Linked DNA regions of Macaca mulatta. The protein of the gene in region 1 purifies or fractionates together with the protein of each later gene. This does not show direct contact. Links are inferred from orthologs where the notes say so. Each region holds a gene or a part of one and is shown in the gene's direction. Other genes may lie near its edges. The genes, in order: TGFBR2, SMURF2 and SMAD7.

Evidence for each region.
Region 2: the proteins of TGFBR2 (region 1) and SMURF2 purify together in Homo sapiens (affinity purification with western blotting; 3 studies listed by BioGRID). This does not show direct contact. The link is inferred for Macaca mulatta from reciprocal best matches to the Homo sapiens genes TGFBR2 and SMURF2.
Region 3: the proteins of TGFBR2 (region 1) and SMAD7 purify together in Homo sapiens (affinity purification with western blotting; 3 studies listed by BioGRID). This does not show direct contact. The link is inferred for Macaca mulatta from reciprocal best matches to the Homo sapiens genes TGFBR2 and SMAD7.

What each region holds. Positions count from the first base shown.
Region 1 is NC_133407.1:17,937,498-17,945,553, reverse strand, and holds the start of TGFBR2 (TGF-beta receptor type-2 precursor), read left to right. Parts: upstream 1-3,046; 5' UTR 3,047-3,193; coding exon 3,194-3,287; intron 3,288-3,888; exon of another isoform or gene 3,889-3,907; intron 3,908-8,056. UniProt on the Homo sapiens protein: Transmembrane serine/threonine kinase forming with the TGF-beta type I serine/threonine kinase receptor, TGFBR1, the non-promiscuous receptor for the TGF-beta cytokines TGFB1, TGFB2 and TGFB3.
Region 2 is NC_133421.1:74,452,579-74,460,170, reverse strand, and holds part of SMURF2 (E3 ubiquitin-protein ligase SMURF2), read left to right. Parts: intron 1-472; coding exon 473-587; intron 588-2,513; coding exon 2,514-2,692; intron 2,693-3,532; coding exon 3,533-3,670; intron 3,671-6,858; coding exon 6,859-6,979; intron 6,980-7,578; exon of another isoform or gene 7,579-7,592. UniProt on the Homo sapiens protein: E3 ubiquitin-protein ligase which accepts ubiquitin from an E2 ubiquitin-conjugating enzyme in the form of a thioester and then directly transfers the ubiquitin to targeted substrates.
Region 3 is NC_133423.1:43,375,746-43,383,881, forward strand, and holds the start of SMAD7 (mothers against decapentaplegic homolog 7), read left to right. Parts: upstream 1-2,679; 5' UTR 2,680-4,282; coding exon 4,283-4,895; intron 4,896-5,262; exon of another isoform or gene 5,263-5,440; intron 5,441-6,232; coding exon 6,233-6,286; intron 6,287-8,136. UniProt on the Homo sapiens protein: Antagonist of signaling by TGF-beta (transforming growth factor) type 1 receptor superfamily members; has been shown to inhibit TGF-beta (Transforming growth factor) and activin signaling by associating with their receptors thus preventing SMAD2 access.

The sequences.
Region 1 (8,056 bases):
TTATTTTTAGTAAAGATGAAGTCTCGCTATGTTGTTTAGGCTGGTCTCGAACTCCTGGGCTTGAGCCCAGGAGTAATCCTCCTGTCCAGGCCTTCCAAAGTGCTGGGATTACAGGTGTGGACCACTGCACCCAGCCTGATGAATTTTTAAAATTATCAAACTGCAATATGCTGAGTTTACATCTCTATTATTTCTATTATGATGATTTTCAAAAGGCTAGCTTGCATTGGCAATGCTGAATTCTGATTCTTCTCAATTTCACAGGAGATTGAAGATTAAATCAGAAATGTTAAGGGCAAACAAAATTAAAATCAACATTAATGGTGTATGATGACAAAGACCACCAGTTAAACATTTGACCATGGATTCAAATACCTAGCCTCCAACAATGTAAAACATCTGTCTTTGTGATAATTAGGGAAAACAAAGCCTTTGGAATATATTGAACATTTATTTGCCACATTGTGTTTTGAGGAGAAAGAAAGTACATGTATGCTGTCCGGAGGAACTTGGGCAAATGTAAGGAAAAAAAAAAAAAAAAAAAAAACAAGAAGAAAGAAACCCACATACTTCTCCATTCTTAAGAAAAGGAAGTAGTGGTGACATCATTGTCGGCTAAAATGTAGTCTGTTTATATCTCAAATATTAGGTAACAATGTTTTCTCCAGAGTTATGAAGCAACTAGAATGATCAAGTACAATTTTCTTCTAAATCTTTATTGCCTGATTCATTCATTCATCCAATAAATATTTATTAAACATCGATTATGTGTTAGATGTTTGGGACACAATAGTAAGTGGAGGGAAAGATATATAATACCTGCCCTCAAGAAATTTGGAGTTGAGTGGAGGATAGGAATAGAAATTAAAGAATGACACAAATAATTATAAAGTTACAGCTGTTAAAAGAAAGGCATATGGTGCCAAGAGAACCTATAATAAAAGATCTACTCATGGAGGTCAGTGAAAGCTTGCCCATCAAAGAAGTTATCATTCAATCCACGAAGACCAGGAGTTGGCTGGGTGAAGAAGAAAAGGTCAGAGGAAGGAAGTCCATACTGGGGAAGGAAGGCTCTGTGCATAAAGAATAGGGGGATTACAGAGGCACATTCACGAAATTTGGAGAAGGCTTTCAGCAAGCAAGGAGAAGCCACGTGGACGTTTACAGCAGAGGTGGGGGCTTGAACCAGATCCACGTTCAAGGATCTGGTTTTTATCTTCTCTTTATCTCAAGAGCAGTGGGAAGCCATTAAATGATTTTAGTCAGAGAGTTGGTATAACTAGTTTTGTATTTTGAAAAACTGAATTCAGCTCTCATTTGAGAAACTGAGTGAAACAGCCCGGAATGGCCGTGGCTGAGGGTGACCGGTGGGAGACTCCTACTCAAGCCACGGCAGTGGCATGGGCTGGTGGCAGGAGAGGGAACAGGGAGAAGAAGATTTGGAACTCAATCTTCCTCCATTGATAAAGTCACTCCAGCTTTGGCAAGGCAATTAATTGATGGGAAAGAAGATGCCTAGCCCTCCTGATTTCACTGCATTTTCTCCATCTTAAACATGAGCGCTGGGAAGTGGCAGAACATCTAGAGGCAGCTCGGGTGCTAGGTGGAGCAAGAGGTAAAATTCCAGGATGAAGCAAATGAACTCTTAGAATGACAGGAGGGATTTTGGGAGCTGGGTTTGGGGGAGTGCTATTTACCTTTATTCCCTGGAGGCCCTGGCCCAAACCCTTGCCTCTGCAATCTTTCTCTCAGGTAAAGGAATTCATTAAACGAATTGCTGGAAGATCTACTGACCAGAGGGCTGTACAGAATCCTATCTTTGAGAGAGAGAAGTAGGTTGATCACATAGTTTATTATCCAATCAGGACATATCTGAAAGAGAAAAGGGGTTCTATTAATATTTAAACTACAAAACATGTACACCAGGAGTGTCTTGGGCAAATCTGGTTGCCCTAGCAAGAAAGGAAATTTGAAAGTTTATACTGTTCTGCTCCCATGTTACCCCTTTTTCACATGAAAGGCTAAGCATTCTCTTCACCTGCATTAAGGGAATAAAAGCGCAAGCATTCAGGTGACTCCCAAGCCACTTTTAATTTTACAGTTTCTGCTATACTCTATACATTCTGAAAATTACATTTTCCACCATTATCACTTCGTGATAGGTGATCATTTACAATTACTCACTGACTCAGTCCCCGGAAGAGGCGGTGCGAAATGGGAGGCTCTATCCAGGTGCTCATAAAAATGCAGAATCTCCGCCTGCCTCCTAGACCTACTGAATTAGAATCTGCATTTTTTAACAAGATTCCCAGGTGATCAATAAGTACATTAAAACTTGAGAAAAACTTCTAGACTTCGACCTAAAGAAAAAACATTTTACCACTTGACAGTGTATGCACACACATACATGCATAAAGACACAACCGAAGCACAAGTTTAATGAAGTAAAATTTACCGTTACTATTTTATTTGGGACAGAAATGTGCTCACGACTCAATAGATTTGAGTATTCACTCCTGGATCTCAACGTGTAATTTGAAAACGCATCTCTAAAGCACCTAGGAGCAATCTGAAGAAAGCTGAGGGGAGGCGGCAGATGTTCTGATCTACCAGAGAAAACGTGGACGTTTTCTGTTGTTACTTTGTGAACTGCGTGCACTTAGTCACTCTTGAGTAAATACGTGAAGCGAGGAACTCCTGAGTGGTGTGGGAGGGCGGTGAGGGGCAGCTGAAAGTCGGCCAAAGCGCTCGGAGGGGCTGGTCTAGGAAACATGATTGGCAGCTACGAGAGAGCTAGGGGCTGGACGTCGAGGAGAGGGAGAAGGCTCTCGGGCGGAGAGAGGTCCTGCCCAGCTGTTGGCGAGGAGTTTCCTGTTTCCCCCGCAGCGCTGAGTTGAAGTTGAGTGAGTCACTCGCGCGCACGGAGCGACGACACCCCCGCGCGTGCACCCGCTCGGGACAGGAGCCGGCCTCCTGTGCAGCTTCCCTCGGCCGCCGGGGGCCTCCCCGCGCCTCGCCGGCCTCCAGGCCCCCTTCTGGCTGGCGAGCGGGCGCCACATCTGGCCCGCACATCTGCGCGACCGGCCCGGCGCGGGGTCCGGAGAGGGCGCGGCGCGGAGGCGCAGCCAGGGGTCCGGGAAGGCGCCGTCCGCTGCGCTCGGGGCTCGGTCTATGACGAGCAGCGGGGTCTGCCATGGGTCGGGGGCTGCTCAGGGGCCTGTGGCCGCTGCACATCGTCCTGTGGACGCGTATCGCCAGCACGATCCCACCGCACGTTCAGAAGTCGGGTGAGTGGTCCCCAGCCTGGGCTCGGCGGGGCGCCGGGGGTCTTCCTGGGGTCCCCGCCTCTCCGCTGCGCTTGACAGTCGGGCCCGGCAACCCGGCGCCCGGGCGGAAACGAGGAAAGTTTCCTCCGCGGCACTCTAGCAGCCCGACTCCCGTAGCTGCAGGGATGTGTGAGTTTTTCTTGAAAAAAAGATGGAAAGTTCACTTGCAAGGGGCGCGGGGCACGTTTGGTCCCCTTTGTGCGAGCAGGAAAGGCGTTGTGTTGGCCGCGTTCGAGGCGAGCCCCCACCCCCGGAAAGGGAAGTTTGAGAAGTTGGTTATCTGAAGGCGGCCGGGGAGCAGCGGCCCGGGGCGGCAGCCTGAGCTGCCAAAGCAGCCAGCACACCTGGGCCACTCAGCCCGTGGCAATGCCGCGTGCCCACCCAGCTCTTTCTGAGCCACCCGTTCAAAAGGCCAGCTCCTCAGTCCTTAGCTCCTGGACACGGCCACGCTTTCCCTCAGGCCGGCTTCTTGGCCCGGAGGTTTTGGATACAAGTTTCAAGAAAATAAGCGATTTCCAAAAGAAAGTTAGCTGGCTCCACTGACGCCTTGGCATGGATGGGAAGGGAGTGGAGATGCTCAGGTGAAACCGAGAATTCCTCACTGAATGCCCACTGGGTGCTAGGGGCTGTAGATTTTGCCTGGAACAAGACAGTCCTGTCTTCAGGGAGTTGATAGTTCTATGCAATTATCGTTTGTTGGAAACCGAAGGGTTAAAATTCTACCTAGGCTACCCACCTGATCGCTGTGTCTGAAGGTTTTTAAGGAAAAAAAATATATGTTTATATGTATGTGTGTGTCTGTGTGTGTGTGTGTGTGTATATATATATATATATATATGCATGCAGGAATGGGGGTTCTTAATGATTTGTTATGGAAAGTGTAAACACCTGAGACTTCAAAAGTTAGATTTTTTTTTTTTTTTTTTTTTTTTTTTTTTTTTTTTTTTTTGAGACGGAGTCTCATTCTGTCACCAGGCTGGAGTGCAGTGGCGCAATCTCGGCTCACTGCAACCTTTGCCTCATGGGTTCAAGTGATTCTCCTGCCTCAGCCTCCCGAGCAGTTGGGATTACAAGCACCCGCCACCACGCCCAGCTAATTTTTGTGTTTTTAGTAGATACAGGGTTTCACCATATCGGTCAGGATGGTCTCGATCTCTTGACCTCGTAATCCGCCCACCTTGGCCTCCCAAAGTGCTGGGATTATAGGCATGAGCCACCGCGCCCGGCCAAAAGTTAGACTTTTTGCAGCTGTGATCCAAATAACAGTATCTGCAGCTGTGGTCTGGGTAACCGAGTATTTGGGCAAGTCACAGAGCTTTTTCTGGGCCTTAGTTTCCTCATCTGTAAAATGGCAAGGTTGAATCTGGGTAATTTTACATCATCTTCGTGTTTAACATCTTACGTGCCGTGGCCCTCCCCTCCTTTCCCCTAGCTCTTCTGGTAACTTGGAGATGACCCATGTAGGCTCTGGATGAAATGTAGAGGAGTTGGCAGTCCACATCACCCTGACGCACTCTTTTTATTTATCCAGGGACATGGGCAGATTTACCTTTTGGTTTGTCTAGAAAAAACGCGCATCATGGTCAGTTGTAAATTTCAGAGTATTTGAAGTGGATTGGGAACTTTTTAAAAATTATGGCATACATTGAAGGTGGCATGGAGATGGAAGCTTTTAATCTAATTAGGAAGATGCACTATTGCAAGCAAAAAGTCTTAACACACTTTTGAGTCCTATGGTTTTAATAAAATCTTAGTGTTTCGTTCTTGGCGTTTTTCCTGCATTGCAGTACCAGAATGTTCAGTTGTCTCTCATTTTCCTCCAGACTCTTAAACCTAAGTTGTATTTTGCTAATAAATATTTAAAATGGCACCCTTAATTTTCTGTGGATGTTAAAAATCATTAAAACTTTTGTTCCAGATTATAGAAGAAGGAAATTAGCAGGCCCTGATGTTGTTAGGTTCTGTTTACAAGGATAAGATTTATGATTTGCAAATTCCAGACCCAATAGTTCATGAGTCACTTTCATTTCATCAATATACACACTTTTAAACAATTAGCATAAAAGCGTGGTGGCTTTTTGAGTATTTAGACAGTTTAACAAGGCCCACAGATTTCCTATTTTTATAGAATTGAAGTTTCAAAATGGTTGAATTAATGAATATTTTGAATTTGTATTCATTTGATTCAAATTAAATTTTCAAAGTTGGCCAAAGGTTGAAGATAGATATATTGAAGATGAGAAACCTAATTCTACTTACATTTTAATTTTTCATGTAAGTAAATGGTTTCAGAATTTTTCTAACATAACTGGTAAACTGAAAACATTTTTTCAAAATATCTTGATGCAAGATAATATATGAGGGAATGAGATTGTTTAATAAACAACAAGCTCCTTTTACGTCACATAGAAAAGCCCCAAAATCTGTCTTCTGTTTAGTAGCTTCTGTATTTCTGTTTAGTAGTATGTAAAGGATTTAAATATAAGAACAAATTTCACTAAGAAATAGAAAGTTTTTTTTCCCTTGTTTTTGACTTAGTACATTCACTCTTCCTAAATGATCAAAATTAAGAAATGACTCTTTGGGGGAAAACTGTAAAGTGTACAATAGCTCTTCAGGTCTGAAAAATATGACTTTTCAGATTCCTAAAAGTAGATTCTTATTGAGGACAAAGAATTTGTAACAGTGTCGTAGGGATACAGGTTCTTCAGATCTCTTTAATAACCTGCTTATTTTGTCAGGGTAAGAGACTAGACATCATTAGGCCCCAAATCTTATCTTTGGTCTACTTGTGCTTTTTTTTTGCCCTCATAAAAATACGTTTTTACCTTTAGGCCACTCCCTTTAACAACATCTTATTTTTAATGAGTTATGTTTTATACAAAATACTAATCACATTTTGAGCTCGTGCCTTCTTTGCAATGTAGCAATCCCTAATGATGACTCTCGTCTGTGTAGTCAATGTAACTACTACATGTTTTCTACTCAGTTATGAACATGACTTTTTAATTTTTTCAGTAAGGTTAGTTTTTAATTCTGGATCTCATTGATATCATTGCAAAAAGTGGGCATTTTTTTCTTCTACCTTTTCAACCATATTTATTGAGTATCTCTTGCCAGGCAGGACGCTCCGACCTGGGACACCATCCATAAGACAGACCTGGTCTTTGCCTTCATTGAATTTAAGCTAGGAGCATGTTATATGTAAAGAAAAGGATACATGTTTTAACTCTTTATATTTGAAAGCATTATGGAATACTGGTGTTTTATTTTCTATACCTCATTTTCAAAAGCCTCATTTTTTGTTGTTGTATGCACTAGGAGGATGTGCATGTTGAATGTTTCCTTCTAGGTCCCATTGAATGTATTTTGAATCTCACTTTCCTATCCCTGCCTTATCACAGAGCCCCCGTTGGGCAGCCTTTAATTGCCTTCTCCATTCCATAGGCAGCATGATGGACCCAGTGCATTCATTTAGTGTTCTCTTTGAGGATAGGCTGGTGGTAGAAGAGTGTAGGGTATAAGCTTTGGAATCAGGCCGTCCTGGGTTCCAAACCCACTTCCCGTTTACTGGCTGTGTAGCCTGTTGTAGTTACTTTACCTACTGGTCATCCCTGGTCTCATTTGTAAAGTGAGGATTATGGAGTTATGGTGAGGATTAAATAAAATATTGTTTTAAAGTATTTAACATGGTGCCTGCAACACAGTAAATGCTCAGTAAATATCAGCTTCTGTTATTACTGTTAACTCCTTAATTGGTCTTACAAAGGGCCTCCGACGTGGTTCCCATTTGACTCTGCTGCTTCACATCCCACCACAGCCCACACTTTCCCAGTCTGTTGGTGTCACTACACATACACATGATGTGAGCAATTTAGGCAGCTGTGCCTTTGTTCAGGATGTCTGGAACTGCTGCTACCCGGCTAATTTTCACTCATCTTTTAAGACGTAGTTCAAGTGTCATCTTCTTGAGGAAAACCTGCATTGAATGCCCCAGTTTGAGGTGAATATCTCCTATGAGATACGGACCTCTCACTTAGATGGTAACGATACCAAGCCGAAGTCATATCTTTTCGTAACTCTCTTGCCCCATTAGACCTTTAATCCTCTCAATCCTATTCAGTTCTCTATCTCCGGGGTCTCTAGCAGTGCCTGACACATCATTTAGCACCCAGGAAGTGCTGAGCTGAGCCTCCACTTCATCCTACTGCATCTAGTGCAACTGAGGTCGAGCATTTAACTAAGCAGTGACTTGTTTGTTAGGTGTTTGGTCCGAATAGTAAAATCTTTACTTTCAGTTCAAATAGTTTTAGTTCTGATCACAATAAGCAATTTGACTCTTTTTGAAGTATGGAATTGCTTCTTGTATTCTCATGAAATATGGAAAAAGATGTTTCAACTTCTGACAAACATGATGGAAAGCTGCTAGAAGTTTTCATGCAATTCTTCTAGCCATAAATTTTGAACTAGTGTAGGGCCTTGAAAGCCACTGCAAAACTTTAAATAAAGTCACCAGAGAAATTATCCAGTAGGTACTGATACCTCTTTTTTTTTTTTTTCTAGAAGGGTGTTGGAAAGAGAATTTTATTAGGAATGAAGTGCTAAAATCTAAATTTAGTTTTTAAGTTTCTTTTTTCATCGGGTTTTATGTTTTGGTTTGTAAGGGTAAAGCGGCGTTGGTTGAAGGGAAGTGTGGTCCTGTAGCCACCACTGCCTACCCCAGAGTAGCG
Region 2 (7,592 bases), on another chromosome or scaffold:
TCCTGAGCTCAAGTGAACCACCTGTCTTGGCCTCCCAAAGTGCTGGGATTACAGGTGTGAGCCACCGTCCCCACCCTCACATGGACATTTTGAAATAAAACCCCGTATTCTTCCTTTTGTTTTATGTTTATTATGGATTACAAATTTATTTGGCAATTAAAAGTAACAGACCACTGGACTATATCATCTCGTGAGTAGCTGAGCTGTTGGATAATACTTTTATACTCTTTGATGCTAAAATACAATAAAATTTCCTAAATTTTGAGTGAGATGTTCCTTCAATATAAGAGAGTTTTTATTTGCTATTTGGGCATGGTAGATTTTTCCAATGTGATCTTATATAACTACAGTTAATGCTTTTTTGCCTTTTATTAATTTAAAAAATTATTTGCTAAAATGATGAATTAATGGCATATCTTAATAAAAATGTATACATTAACAAAAAAATTCCTTGGTCATATCTGTTTTCTAGGGAATGGTTGTATCTCTTGTCACATGAAATGCTGAATCCATACTATGGCCTCTTCCAATATTCAAGAGATGATATCTATACATTGCAGATCAATCCTGATTCTGCAGTTAATCCGGTATGATTTGAAGTTATGATGTGAATTGTGACCTGTAATGCTTTTCATGTTTACATATTAATGTAGTTTATTATATAGAAATTATTTGTCCTTGTCTTAGTTGTACCCTTTGACTTAGCAATTCCTCTTCTACAAAATTTTCCCAAGCAGATGATTACAGATACATGCACCAATTTGGAAACAGGGATGTTTATTGTTTATAGTAGCACTCAACTGAGAACAATATAGTTGTCTTCAAGAGTGGGGATTGATTAAATTATGACATGAAGCAGAATCACACAAATGATTAAAGGCATAGGTTCTGGAATTAGAAAGACATGTCGTGGTCTCATCAGTTTCTAGCTTTGTGACCTTTCAGGGCAAGTTCATGGACTTAAGCTTCAGTTTTGTCATTGCTAATAAATAAATGTGTACCTCAAAGAGGGGTTATGAGAATTAAATGGGGACTGGCACATTAAGCATTTAGCACAGTGCTGTATGTTATTAACTGTACAACTCTTATCAATTACATTATTAAGCACTCAACAGAAGTCAGCAGTTATTACTAATGTATTGTTCTTATATTGTCTTTCCATAGAAGGGCACACTATACAGCCACTAAAATGATCATGTGGGATAATAGTTAATGATTTGGAAATTTGGTGTTTATGATGTGTTAAGGGAAAAGAAGGTTATCAAATAGTATAATGCAACTTTGGTAAATATATATGTGTGTGTGTGTGTGTGTGTGTGTGTGTTTTATTACTTTTAAAAAAGAAACAAAGAGGTTTAAAGACGAACTTAAAAGATTACTTAGTTTTGGCTGGGCGCGGTGGCTCAAGCCTATAATCCCAGCACTTTGGGAGGCCGAGACGGGCAGATCACGAGGTCAGGAGATTGAGACCATCCTGGCTAACACAGTGAAACCCCTTCTCTACTTACAAAAAAAAAAAAATACAAAAAAAAATTAGCCAGGCATGGTGGTGGGCGCCTGTAGTCCCAGCTACTCGGGAGGCTGAGGCAGGAGAATGGCGTGAACCCGGGAGGCGGAGCTTGCAGTGAGCCGAGATCGCGCCACTGCACTCCGGCCTGGGTGACAGAGCGAGACTCTGTCTCAAAAAAAAAAAAAAAAGAATTTAAAAATACAAACATCTAACAAAATAATCTGTGATGAAAGACGAAATATATATAAAAGGGTAGAAATGTTAGATTTGTTTCAGGAAATTATTTAGGGAGGATTTTGAGGTGAAGGTTCTTTTTGGAGGGCGCACTGCTGCCCCTGTAGTAACAATAGCCCACATTCATTGAGGGCTTACAGCATGCCAGGTCCAGTTCCATGGGTTTCAAACATCACCTCATTTTACTCCTCATAGAGATGCTTTTTAGATACTGTTATTATCCTCATATTTCCAGATGTGGACAGTCCTACAGGGGTTAATTTGTCCATACGCCAGTGACTAGCAGAATCATGATTCTAATTCAAGCCTGACACCAAGTCTGTGCTCTTAAATCTATGGTGTTTTGATGTTTAATTTCTGGTTAGGTCAAGGAGGCGGGGAGATTTAGAATTGAAAGATTTTTTTTCATGACAAAGGGCTCAGCACGGAAGTGAGAGAAGGAAGAGAAAAGAATCTGCAAGTAGTTGAATGAAGCTCTGGGACCATAGTTTGGACTTTCTAAAAGATAAATTTTATCTTTCTAAAAGATAAAATTTACAGAATGACTGACCCCTGTGAGAAGGGCGTATTACCCTGTGTAATATGCTGTTCCGGAGTGATCTAGAGACTCCTGAGCATGCCCTAGAGAAATACTCCCTCCTGACTATATTGAAGAGTACAAATTTTATGCTTATTCTCAAAAAAATTAATGTTGCTGAAATATTTCATTTTTATTAAAATTTTCCTGGGTAGTTTCTAACTTGAGTATATACACTCTTTTCAATTTCAGGAACATTTATCCTATTTCCACTTTGTTGGACGAATAATGGGAATGGCTGTGTTTCATGGACATTATATTGATGGTGGTTTCACTTTGCCTTTTTATAAGCAATTGCTTGGGAAGTCGATTACTTTGGATGACATGGAGTTAGTAGATCCAGATCTTCATAACAGTTTAGTGTGGATACTGTATGTATTGAGTCTTCTGTCTCTTCATTATAGTTAAACTCTTGAGCTTTTAAAAAAAAGTTTCAAAACCGATGTACTTAAAAAAAATTACACAGAAAATATTGAGTGGTTGAGTGATAGGATCTCATATGATTTCCCCCTTTCTGTAGCTTCTTTATATATTTCAAATTCCTTAAACTTAGCAAGTGTTACTACTTTAAAAAGAAAAAAAAAAACTAGTATATTCTATTTTTAAAAGTACTTTATATGATTATTTCCTCAATGTGATGTAAATTCTGTTCCAAACCTGCATGTGTTAGAATAGCAAATTCTTGCTGCCATTGCTTTTAATGAAGTGGCGATTGTTGGAACCATACTTTTAGATAAGAACTAATTGTTGAATTTAAGCTAAGAACTGATTCTGTTTTGCAAGAGGTCGTTATTTTTATGAAGATACACTGGAAATGTTTATTTTTTATAAAGTATACAGTGGCTTTCTCAACTAGGGATACACAGGCACTTGGCCCCTTGGAGTACAGTACCGAGTAGCGCTCTTCAGAATGCCAAATATAACTGAAATTGTCCTATATTGGTGGTTCTAGCAAGTCCCAGCTTTGACCAGGGCTCTTTCTCATCACTCAGGAAGTTAAATGTTTCCTGTGTTTATGCAGGTTAAAGCTCTTTGACTTTTCTGTCCAGAAAGAACTAGGTAGTGTGGTAGTTTAAGAGTTCATAAGCTGAATCTGACCTCACATTTGTCATATTATAAAATGATCTTAGTTTTATCTCACCAGTTAATACATCTATAGGGTCTGTATTTTAGGTTTCCCAGTTACCTATCTCTTCCTCTTTCCTTTCCAGTGAGAATGATATTACAGGTGTTTTGGACCATACCTTCTGTGTTGAACATAATGCATATGGTGAAATTATTCAGCATGAACTTAAACCAAATGGCAAAAGTATCCCTGTTAATGAAGAAAATAAAAAAGAATATGTCAGGTAAACACTCCTGTGTTCTCAAGGCTGAATTTTTTTAAAATGTTCTAGGATGTTAGTATGAACAAACTTAAATATTTAGATAGTATTACTTAGTGTTACAAAATCCGCTTCAGCAGAATTTAGTGGCTTATTAAGAACAGCCATTTTATTATTTCTCACAATTCCAAGGGTCAGGAAATTGGGCAAAAGAACAACATGGATGACACACTGCTGTTCCACAAGATGTCAGCTAGGCCTGCAACACCAAGATGGCCTCTTCACTCATAACTAGGATAACTCAAATGGCCGAGGGCTAGCTGGCATGGCTGTCGACTGGGGTCACTGGCTGGGTCCTAGTTCTCATTGTTGGCTGAGTTCCTTGGTTCTCCCTCTGTGATATCAAAGGCCATTCCCTCTCTCCATGACCACTCCCTCTCCCCATAGCCACTCTTTCTCCCTGAAAAGTTTGTCCCTTCATTGTAATGAAGGTTAATCATGTTACCCACTGTATTGATAGACTTCTTATGGGGTGGCCAGCTTTCCAAAGCTCAAAAGCAGAAGCTGTAGATCTTTTTAAGGCCTAAGCCTGGTCCTGGCCAACATGACTTCTGTCTAGTTCTGGTTAAACTGAGACAGCCAGCCCAGTTTCATCATGGAAGAGGAGCTGTACAAAGGTGTGAATACCAGGAGATGTGGGCAATGGGGCCATGTGTGGTGTAGCTATCACAGGTGGCAATTCAGAAGGGCTTTTGTGCTGTATATTACTAACATTTAGCCTGTTTATAAACAAGCACATTGTGAGTTTAGGGATAAATGTAAATAAATGTTTTTCAGATTTCATAAAGTAAATTTGAGGAATTTTTATGTATTGGGCTAATTTGGCTTATGAGAAATAAAAAGTCTACCAAACAAAACTGTGGTAATCAGCTTTGGAAGTTTGAACTTGAACTTTACTGTATGTACACAGAAACTTGCATGCTATACTTTTTTTGTATAGATCATGTTCTCAAATCTTACTAACATTGTTCCTAGTTTAAAAATGAGGTCCACTTGATTGGAGTGAACACTGGCATAGCTTTTCTGGAAAGCGGTTTGATACCAGCAGTACATGCCCTTTAGCAGCTCTGTGTTTAGGACTCTTCTGCAGAAACACACATGTAATTGAAGAAGTACAGGAAAGGATGGTCAATTAAATACTACTTGTAAAAATTACACTACTAAAATCTTTTTAGAGAAGAATGATTATATTATACATTCAACAGAATATTATGTGGATATTTAAAAGAAAGACTACATAAGCTGTCATATTTTAAAACTAAATCTTACAAGAATTATGTAGGAACAAAGTCTATGTTTTTTTGTTTTGTTTTGTTTTTTGTTTTCTTTTGTTTTTCTTTGAGACAGAGTCTCACTCTGTTGCCCAGGCTGGAGTGCAGTGGCACAATCTTGGCTCACTGCAACCTCTGCCTCCCAGGTTCAAGTGATTCTCCTGCCTCAGCCTCCCGAGTAGCTGGGAGTACAGGTGCGCACCACCACACCCGGCGAATTTTTGTATTATTGGCAGAGATGGGGTTTCACCATATTGACCATGCTGTTCTCAAACTCCTGACCTCATGATCTGCTTGCCTTGGCCTCCCAAAGTGTTGGGATTACAGCGTAAGCCACCGTGCCTGGCTGGTTTTTTTTTTTTTTTTTTATAATTATACTGAAGATGTTCAGGAGGCTGCAGTCAAATAAAGTTTTTGCCTAGGATGAGGGAGTGGAGGTGATGGGACTGGAAATAGGGAGGAGAAAGAGGGTAAAAGAATGGACTTTCATATTTTACTGTCTCCATAGTTAATGTTTGTTTTTTTGTTACATGCATAAAAAGTATGTATTACATTTCTACTTTAAAAAATGAAAGAACAGGCTGGGTGTGGTGGCTCATGCCTGTAATCCCAGCATTTTGGGAGGCCAGAGTGGGTGGATCAGCTGAGGTCAAGAGTTTGAGACCAGCCTAGCTAACATGGTGAAACCTTGTCTCTACTAAAAATACAAAAATTAGCCAAGTGTGTTGGCAGGCACCTGTAATCCTAGCTGCTTTGAAGGCTGAGGCAGGAGAACCACTTGAACCTGGGAGGTGGAGGTTGCAGTAAGCTGAGATCACACCACTGCACTCCAGCCTGGGCGACAGAGCGAAACTCTATCTAATATAAATTTAAAATAATAAAAAAAGAAAGAACAAATGAGAATTTCCTAAGTCTTAGCAGTATCTCCTTTTCAAGACCTCGTGTGTCCTACTCAGTCCCTGGATCCCACTCTCCAGGGTTCAGTCGTGTTTACAGCACACGGTACTAATGCCTTGCCAGCTACAGTTTTGAGATTAAAAATTACAAAGAAAAATTTTTACAGTTGTACAGTTTTTCTGTCCCCTTAGCCCAGCAAACAGAAATATGGTCCTCCAAAGGATGTGTTGTTAAGTAACTTCTCTCTTGAAGTGGAGAACCATTTCTCCAGATTTGGAAATGGTAACAAATTTGACAGATGAGTAAGTTCTGTGATGTGTGAGATGGAGAGGTCTTCTTGGGTAGGTAGATAAATAAAAGCAATTCACTTATAAATCATACAGTCACACAGTAGATGTAGTTTAGTGCATTTTTTATTGGTAAAATTACATCTTCCAGAATTTTTATATCCTCTAGAGAACAATGATTATTTAATCAAAAAGCACTTGCTATTGGCTTTTACTGTTTCTTCTCATTTTTGGTTTGAGGATTATCTACCTCCTCTTCTCCCACAGACCTCCCTCAAATAGAAACAAAACACCCAACACATTCAAATTACATTTACAAGTAAAATCAGAAAAAATAGTCATTTTTGAGTGAAAGAGCTCTTTATTCTAGTTATTGGCATGTATGCTGTAAGTTTAGAAAGAAATTTCATCAAGACTCAAGTAGACGTCCTGTTTCCTGGGAGCTTCTCTGATTCGAAGGGTTGCTCTGCTGATGCTGCTGCTGTTAGTAGAAGTTTACCACTTTTCATCAACACTGAACTGTGTCACACCTCAGGGATCATTTATCCCCATTAGTCTGAGATTTATTTTTAGACTTTAGGCTAAATTATTAATGTTAGATGCTTGTAAAATGCAATGTTGCTAAAGTAGAGATTTATAATAATTACCAGATCTGAAAATATATGTGATTATACCCAATCCTGCCTAATGTTTACAGGCTCTATGTGAACTGGAGATTTTTACGAGGCATTGAGGCTCAATTCCTGGCTCTGCAGAAAGGATTTAATGAAGTAATTCCACAACATTTGCTGAAGACATTTGATGAGAAGGAGTTAGAGGTTAGTGCATTAGTAGTATAACATCACTAGTATAACAAGAAAGGATTGGGAATTATTTTGTTACTTAATTTTATAGGAAAGTCATATTTCTGGTACTTTCTAAGTTTCATGGTTCTATGCTTGAGAATTCTTATTCACAGGAAAAGTCTTTCATGCTTTTGAAGGCCTTTCATCCTTTGGAATTTCTGTGAGTGAACAGTCTCTCCTCTCCTCTCCTCTCCTCTCCTCTCCTCTCCTCTCCTCTCCTCTCCTCTCCTCTCCTCTCCTCTCCTCTCCTCTCCTCTCCTCTCCTCTCCTCTCCTCTCTCCCCTCTCTCCTCTCCCCTCTCCCCTCTCCCCTCTCCCCTCTCCCCTCTCCCCTCTCCCCTCTCCCCTCTCCCCTCTCCCCTCTCCCCTCTCCCCTCTCCCCTCTCCCCTCTCCCCTCTCCCCTCTCCCCTCTCCCCTCATTTTTTCTGAGACAGGGTCTCACTCCGTCACCCAGGCTGGGGTGCAGTGGTGCAGTCATGGCTCACTGCAGCCTTGGCCTCGTGGGCTCAAATGATCCTTCCACCTCAGCCCCCCAAGTAGCTGGGACTACAAGCATGCACCAGCACGCCTGGCTAATTTTCTTGTT
Region 3 (8,136 bases), on another chromosome or scaffold:
GTAAATGTTCAGAATGGCAGCTTCTGTCCTGTCCAATAGGGTTCTGTACTGCTTGGGGCATCCTACTGTCTTCCAAGTCAATAAGTGTTAGGATCTCCTTGCCTGGAGATGATCATGTAAGCAATGTTGCTGATTTCTTCTGGAATGTATGTTACCAAAGGTACTTTTGGTGGGGTGGAGGAAGGGTCCAAATGCCCCTTAAGCCCTAAGTGTTGATTTCTAATTATTTATTAAGCATCTACTATTGTATTAATATGTTATAAGTCTTTTTAATTGCTGGAGGGGGAGAGGGCTTGAGCTCTAAAGGTGGCTAAGATTCATTCCTGCCTTTTCCTTTTAAGAACATATAATTGGCCGGGCGCGGTGGCTCAAGCCTGTAATCCCAGCACTTTGGGAGGCCGAGACGGGCGGATCACGAGGTCAGGAGATCGAGACCATCCTGGCTAACACAGTGAAACCCCGTCTCTACTAAAAATACAAAAACTTAGCCGGGCGAGGTGGCAGGCGCCTGTAGTCCCAGCTACTCGGGAGGCTGAGGCAGGAGAATGGCATGAACCCGGGAGGCGGAGCTTGCAGTGAGCTGAGATCCGGCCACTGCACTCCAGCCTGGGTGACAGAGCGAGACTCCGTCTCAAAAAAAAAAAAAAAAAAAAAAAAAGAACATATAATTTAGCTGAGGAGATGTACATTTCATCTTTTTCTTTTTTTTCTTTTCTTTCTTTTTTTTTTTTTTTTGAGACAGAGTCTCACTCTGTTGCCCAGGATGGAGTGCAGTGGTGCGATCTCGGCTCACTGCAACCTCCGTCTCCCGGGTTCAAGGAATTCTCCTGTCTCAGCTGGGGTTACAGGCACGTGCCACCTGCCTGTTTAATTTTTGTATTTTTAGTAGAGACGGGATTTCACCATATTGGCCAGGCTGGTCTCAAACTCTTGACCTCAGGTGATCCACCTGCCTCAGCCTCCCAAAATGCTGGGATTACAAGCGTGAGCCACCAAGCCCCGGCACATTTCACCTTTTCTAAAGATTATTTTAAGGCCAGGTGCAGTGGCTCACGCCTGTACTTCCAGCAGTTTGAGAGGTCGAGGCAGGTAGATTACTTGAGGTCAGGAGTTCCAGATCAGCCTGGCCAACATGGTGAAACCGCGTCACTACCAAAAATTACAAAAATTAGCCAGGTGTGGTGGCAAGCGCCTGTAGTTCCAGCTACTCCAGAGGCTGAGGTGGGAGAATCATTTGATCCGGGGAGGCAGAGGCTGCAGGAAGCCGACATCGAGCCACTGCACTTTAGCCTGGGTCAAGAGTGAGACTCTTAAAAGAAAAAAGATTCTTCAAAGCCCCCAATGAGTTTCACTGCGGGCCTGATCTCATAATTCTCAATGGCTTTTTTTTTTTTTTTTTAAATCGTATTTCACTGAATATGAAGTGAGGTTAGATCACCATGCCAACCAGTGGCCTCATCAATACTGATGTGTGTGTATTTAAATAATTACGTTTCTCAGAGCCATCAGCTTTCACGCTGTATATGCGTTCATGCCCTAGCAATGCCATGCCCGTTTCTATGCAGTAACTCGCCAGCTTGAGTATATGTTTCTTCGGGACCTGGGGTCAAGGTATAAACTCTCTGACCCTAAGCACCTTGAAAGCTACGAGGCCCAGAAACAGGCCCTGCATGCAAATAAATGCCCTAGGCAGGTCTGCTCGCTGGGTAACCTTCCCGCGCCAGGAGGCAGGGTGGCTGGTGGCGGAGGTCTTCCGGGCCCGGGAGGAAACCTGCGGGCGGCGCGCAGGCGAGCCCCCGCCTCCCGCTCCCCTTCTCCCGCCAGGAGGCTGCCCCTCGCAGCTCGTCAGCCGGCCAAATGCATTCCATAGCTGTGCACAAGACACACTTCTCCAGGCAGTCCTAGAAACCGGAGCCCGGAGCGGAGAGGGCGGGAGGGAGCGCGCGGCCGCCGCTGAGGTCATATTCACGCCGCCTCCCCGCCCTCGGCGGCTGTTCCCCTCAGCGCACACTTCCCGGGGCCTCGGTCCAGTCCCGTATAAATGTCTTTTAAACCGAGACAGCGCTCTCCTCCCCTTGCCCTCCGGCGCGGCCAAGGGATCCGCCGCCAGGGCCTTTAAAACAAAACCAATGAATGAAGCGCTAGAGCGAGCGCGCGCGAGATGGCCACCGCGAAGCCCAGCCGGGTCGAAATCGGGCCACCGACCGGCTCTCTAAGCTCCAAAACTCGCAGCGAAGCCCGCTCGGTGCTCCCTGCTTTTCCAATTTCTCCATGGCTCCCGCCGGGGCTCAATCGATTCTGGGAGCTTCTCTGCCCCCCACCTCTCTCTCCCCTCCGTCGGTACCCCATCTACAGCCCCGGGAGGGGGTGGCGGTGGCGGGGGGTTGGGGGGAGAAATAGCTTTTAGAAACCCGATCTGTTGTTTGCGAAACACAATCGCTTTTTTTTTTTTTTTTTAAAGCGACAGGGTGTCTAGACGGCCACGTGACGAGGCCGGAGCCGGGCGCGCCACTGCGCAGTGGAACCAGCCGAGCAGAGGGCCGGAGGGGGGGTGCGGGGGGGCGGGGAGGAGGCGGCGGCGGCGGCGGCTGGGGGCGGGGGAGGGAAGGGGGAGGAAGGGGGAGGGAAGGGGGCGGGGGCGGGGGCGGGAGGCCTTGCGGGAGGCGGCGAGGTCTGGGCACACTCGCTTGCTGCTCGGCGCACTGAAGATCTTGTCCCCGAGCCGCGCCAGCCGAGCCAGCCGGGCGCCGTGCTCGGTCCGCTCGCCGCGCGGGAGAGAGCTGCCCGAGACAGAGCCAGTCCGCCGCCGCCGAGCCGCCGAACGCCCGGCCCCTGAGCCCCAGAGTGCGGCGCGGCGAGCCCCTGGCGGCGGCAGAAGGACCAGAGCGCCAGGAGAGGGCGGACCGGGGACAAGGAGGCTCCCGGGCGCGACGAGGAGAGTCTCGGAGGAGGAGGCGCCGAGAGGACACCGGGGCCTCCTGCCGCCGCTGCTGGGGCCAGGCGAGCAGCCCATGCGGGGACCCTCGGCGGGCAGCCGCGGCCAGGGGAAGGGACACCGGCGGCCCCCGCACTAGCAAGCAGCTTGTGCCCAGGGGGGGCGAGAACGCGCGACCCGCCTGGGGCCCTCCGCCGCCGCCGCCGCCGCGCCGCCCTCCCCCGCGCTGTCAGCCCCGCCGGGCTCAGCCGCCGCCGCAGCATCTTCTGCCCCTGCGCCCCCGCCAGCCTCGAGGAAGTCCCCGCCGAGGACCTGGGCCCCCAGGAGCGCAGGAGGAAAGACCAGAGACTCCCCTAAACCACCCAGATGCGCAGGATTGAAGCGGTCTAGCCAAAGCTTTCTGTGGATTAAAAAAATACACGATTTTTTTTTTTTTTGGCAGAAGGAGAGGAAGACCAGCGGGGCTTTGCAAGGAAAAAAGGGGGGGATGTAACTCGTGGATACATTTTTCCACCCCTCAAACATCTTGTTATACTTTGTAAACATTTTCTTTTTTTAAACCCCAGCTCCAGCCGGACGCCCCCAGACCTCAGAGGTTCGAGGAGGTGGTGTTTTTCATTTGGGGCTTTGCATATTTGGTTGTTAGGTTTTGCGAGAGCCTTCTTATTTCGCCAGACATCTCATGCGGGGTGAAGTCCACTCGGCCCCCTCCCCTGAGTCTTCGTGTGCACAGAATTCGAGGAGATCCGGTTACTAAGGATATAGAGAAAAAAAATAAATTGCGTGCTTGCTTTTTTTTTTTTTAATTGCCTGCTTCTCCCCACCCCCAAATTAAGTTGCTTAGCAAGGGGGAAAGAGGCTTTTTCCTTCTTCCAGCAGCCCAGCCGAACGCCTTTCGCTTTTTTGCCTCCGCGGACCTTCCATGTAGGAATCCGAGGCTGGCGAGCCCGACATTCGGGAGCCACTGCGGGGGGGCCTCTTTTTGGGGAGGCGCCGACGGGGGCAGGCTCGGCCGTCCCCAGGGAAGCGGCGGCCGGGTTCCTCCGGGGCGCGCCGGGGCCGGAGAGCCGCGCAGGGCGCGGGCCGCGCGGGGTGGGGCAGCCGGAGCGCAGGCCCCCGATCCCCGGCGGGCGCCCCCGGGCCCCCGCGCGCGCCCCGGCCTCCGGGAGACTGGCGCATGCCACGGAGCGCCCCTCGGGCCGCCGCCGCTCCTGCCCGGGCCCCTGCTGCTGCTGCTGTCGCCTGCGCCTGCTGCCCCAACTCGGCGCCCGACTTCTTCATGGTGTGCGGAGGTCATGTTCGCTCCTTAGCCGCCAAACGACTTTTCTCCTCGCCTCCTCGCCCCGCATGTTCAGGACCAAACGATCTGCGCTCGTCCGGCGTCTCTGGAGGAGCCGTGCGCCCGGCGGCGAGGACGAGGAGGAGGGCGCGGGGGGAGGTGGAGGAGGCGGCGAGCTGCGGGGAGAAGGGGCGACGGACAGCCGAGCGCATGGGGCCGGTGGCGGCGGCCCGGGCAGGGCTGGATGCTGCCTGGGCAAGGCGGTGCGAGGTGCCAAAGGTCACCACCATCCCCACCCGCCAGCCGCGGGCGCCGGCGCGGCCGGGGGCGCCGAAGCGGATCTGAAGGCGCTCACGCACTCGGTGCTCAAGAAACTGAAGGAGCGGCAGCTGGAGCTGCTGCTCCAGGCCGTGGAGTCCCGCGGCGGGACGCGCACCGCGTGCCTCCTGCTGCCCGGCCGCCTGGACTGCAGGCTGGGCCCGGGGGCGCCCGCCAGCGCGCAGCCTGCGCAGCCGCCCTCGTCCTACTCGCTCCCCCTCCTGCTGTGCAAAGTGTTCAGGTGGCCGGATCTCAGGCATTCCTCGGAAGTCAAGAGGCTGTGTTGCTGTGAATCTTACGGGAAGATCAACCCCGAGCTGGTGTGCTGCAACCCCCATCACCTTAGCCGACTCTGCGAACTAGGTGAGAAGTTGTCCCCTTACCCCCAGCATTTTCCGGCGCGCCAGTGCTGGAAGAAAAGCCCTTAGGGCAGTGCGTTTGTGCAGCCACCCCTCCAGGGGGAGTGTGCATCCCCTCCTGGGAGGAGACTGGGGGCCGAAAGTAGAGAAGGGACACGGGGAAACTCAAAGGGCATTCCCTGGGGTTTCCCTTCCAGGATTTCTCCTGTGTTGCCCCGAAGGGGTCTATGGGCACTGCTCCTGCACACAGTTTGCGGTTAAAAATTAGACGCCTTCATTTCCGGATCAACAAGGGGGTGCAGAGGGAGATGGGGGGGTCACGCCTCCCCGCACCCGGAAAGGCGTTGAGGTGTGTGACCGAGTTGGATTTGGTCCAGGCCCGCCAAGGAAGGCTGGGAGAAGCATGCTATAAAAAGGCTGGAAGGTCTCCGTATTTACTCCTTCAGTAAATAAGGAGAATCACGTCGAACACAAGTGGCCCAGACACTGTCGTGGCCGCGCAGCTTTGGAGTTTTGGGGCAAAGAGAGTTGGATGGAAGGCCGAACTGGGTATCTGTCTCATTTCAACTCTGCCAGCCCCAGGGTGCAGAGGAACAAACAGCCAGGAGAAGTTGGGTGTCCCCTACTTTTTCCTTCCTTCCGCACAGATAAGTCTATAGATTAGTGGGGCCCTGCGCCTCGGTGACGTTGTCGCCCCTTACTGCGCTGGGGCCAGGGCTTCTCGGCTGAGACCCTGAAACTTCTTCCCTTTTATCCTGTCAGCTTTCTCCATTCCTTCCTTTTCTGTATGTCTCTGTACACGGAGTGTGATGTGAGGGTTCACCCCGGGCGACCGCAGATCCCCCAAGTTCACCAGCACGCTTGGGCTGCATCTCCCGAGTGCGCTGGGAATGGGGAGCCCCGTGTCCCTCGCGCGGGTGCCCAGCGGACCGGCGGGGGCGGAGGTGAATTGCACCCCTGGGGGGCGGGCCAGGGCGGGGAACCGAGGTTGCTGGGAGCTGGGTCTGGAGTCCGAGAACGGGGAGGGGGTATGGTCGCCCCCCGCCTGTGAACTGTGAAGTGCGCGGCTCCGGCTGAGCCGGTGGTTTCCAGCCGGGCCAGCCGAGCGCGGCGGCGGCGGCGGCCGCAGACGTGGAGGAGCGGAGCGCCGAGGCTGGCGCCAGGCGGCCTCTTTTGTTTATCTGACAGCTAAATATCAAGGCAATCACCGCCTCGCGGCCCTGCCTCCAACCCCCACAGCTAAGACAAACAGTTGGGCTAAAAGAATGCTTCTGTTATCATAAGTTTCTATCTCTCTTCTCATGGCTGGGCCTTTATTTTCTCTTGCTTTTTTAATTTCAGAGTCTCCCCCCCCTCCTTACTCCAGATACCCGATGGATTTTCTCAAACCAACTGGTGAGTAGATGATTTTTAAAATATCCTTCCTATCTTAAGTTAGAAATAGAGCCTCTAGAACCTGGCTTTTTGTGTGTAGGCAAAGGCTTGGAGAGGTGCTGGACTTGCTTCACTTCACTTTGGTTCTAGGTTTCCTCTGTTGGAAGTTTGGTGAATTTTTCTGTTGTGACTGGGTTTTTGTTTTGTGTTTTTGCAAAGATGTTCCCTTGATATGCTTTACATTTTGTTCCTTTTTCCTGTATTTGCGCTCTGTAGCCGGTGGGCTCAGCTTTGATACGTGGAAGCTTTAGTCCAGAAAGAAGTGTCTTGGGAACCAAATAGGACTGGTTGATGGGGAAAACTTGGAGACTTCGTGAGTGCCAGGAGCATCAACGGCAATAATGGAAAGCGTGATTAGATAGATGGGAAGGCGGTTTAAAAAGGTTCAAAGAAGACTTTGGTCTAGAGTAGACACTGGAACGTTTCAGAAGTATAGGCAGTGAAAGGAGGGTAGGTTCCCCCTGCCCCAGTCACCTGCAAGTCAGTCCTCTCCCGGGGTTTTCTCAGTATTCTCCATAGGGGCCGTCAAAGTTTTGAGCACAGCTCTGCCTGTCTGTTGCTTTGTCACTGACTGGCATGGAGCCAGGGCAGAAGCCCATTTGAGACTGGCACCAGCCCTGTTGTGGTTGTCTGCATTCAACTTCTGGCCGGCAGTAGCACAGGAGTCCATCCCTGGACATCACAGTGCTGGGGACGGGGTCAGCAAAATGAACTTTGGGGTGACAACAAGGACAAACCTCAATTCCTGGAGCTCCTTCTTACAGTAGGAGATAGATCTGTTTGCTACAAGTACAGGCCGTGTGTAACCTTGGTTTTTGTTCTTGTATACTGGTGCCTGAAAAAACATTAATACTTGGGACATTTTTATTTTGCCAAGGTTCTGGGAGAAGGAAAAGTGAAGAGTTGGGCACCATTTAGCTCCTGGAATTCTGCAAGTCCTTCCGCCTTCTGCATTTTGGCTGTTGGGCCTTTCCCCTCACTAATTAAAAGTTTTGCTGGGGCGTTGTCATAAATTAAATACTTTAATGAATGTGTAACCGAAGCCCATACTCTGCAGCCAGTCCTCCTGGGACTCTACCAGCTCCCTCAAGTTGGGAAGGCGTTCCTGCTTGCCTGGTGCCGGTCTAATAAGTGGCCCGCAAAGCATGTGATATTTTGCTTTCGATTTACAAAACACCAGATAAATGGTTATTAATGAGGAGATACCCAGCTCTCTGTATTTGTAACAAACATTAACTGGAATTACCAAGCTTTGTTTTCCTAAAGACTGTAACTTGACTGGGTTTTGGCTTAAAGAATCCAGAATTATTTTATGAAGTTAGTTTTCCAAGGGGCCACCTCTGACCTGTTTTTGTTTGTCCTTCCATATTCTTCAAATTTGGAGGTTTTCCTTAAAAGAGAGAGAACAGTGACCTTAGCCCCAGGGATAAAGACCAGCAGGGGTAAATGAAACCTCCAAAACCGTAGAAAAGAAACCTCCAAAAACCGTAGAAAAGAAAGGCCATGTTCCCTTGGGTTTCCTGCAGAGACACTGGGATAAATCTGTTCTCAGGATTTAAGCAGTCATTCTGCCAGGCCAGGACCTCATTTTCGGTGAGTGGAGTGATATATTTATTCATTAGCAAGTGTTGACATTAGGTAGCAAAATGTGTGTAAACAGAGAAGCCACAAAGACAGGAATGTGCCATTTCCAAGGGGGAGAAAAGTTCTCCAGATCAGCCAATAGGAAGTGATTAACCTGCCAATCGGAAACTAAGACAGCTGGTTACTCACCCAAAATGTTTTGTTGAAAATAGAACAAAAAAAGAAAT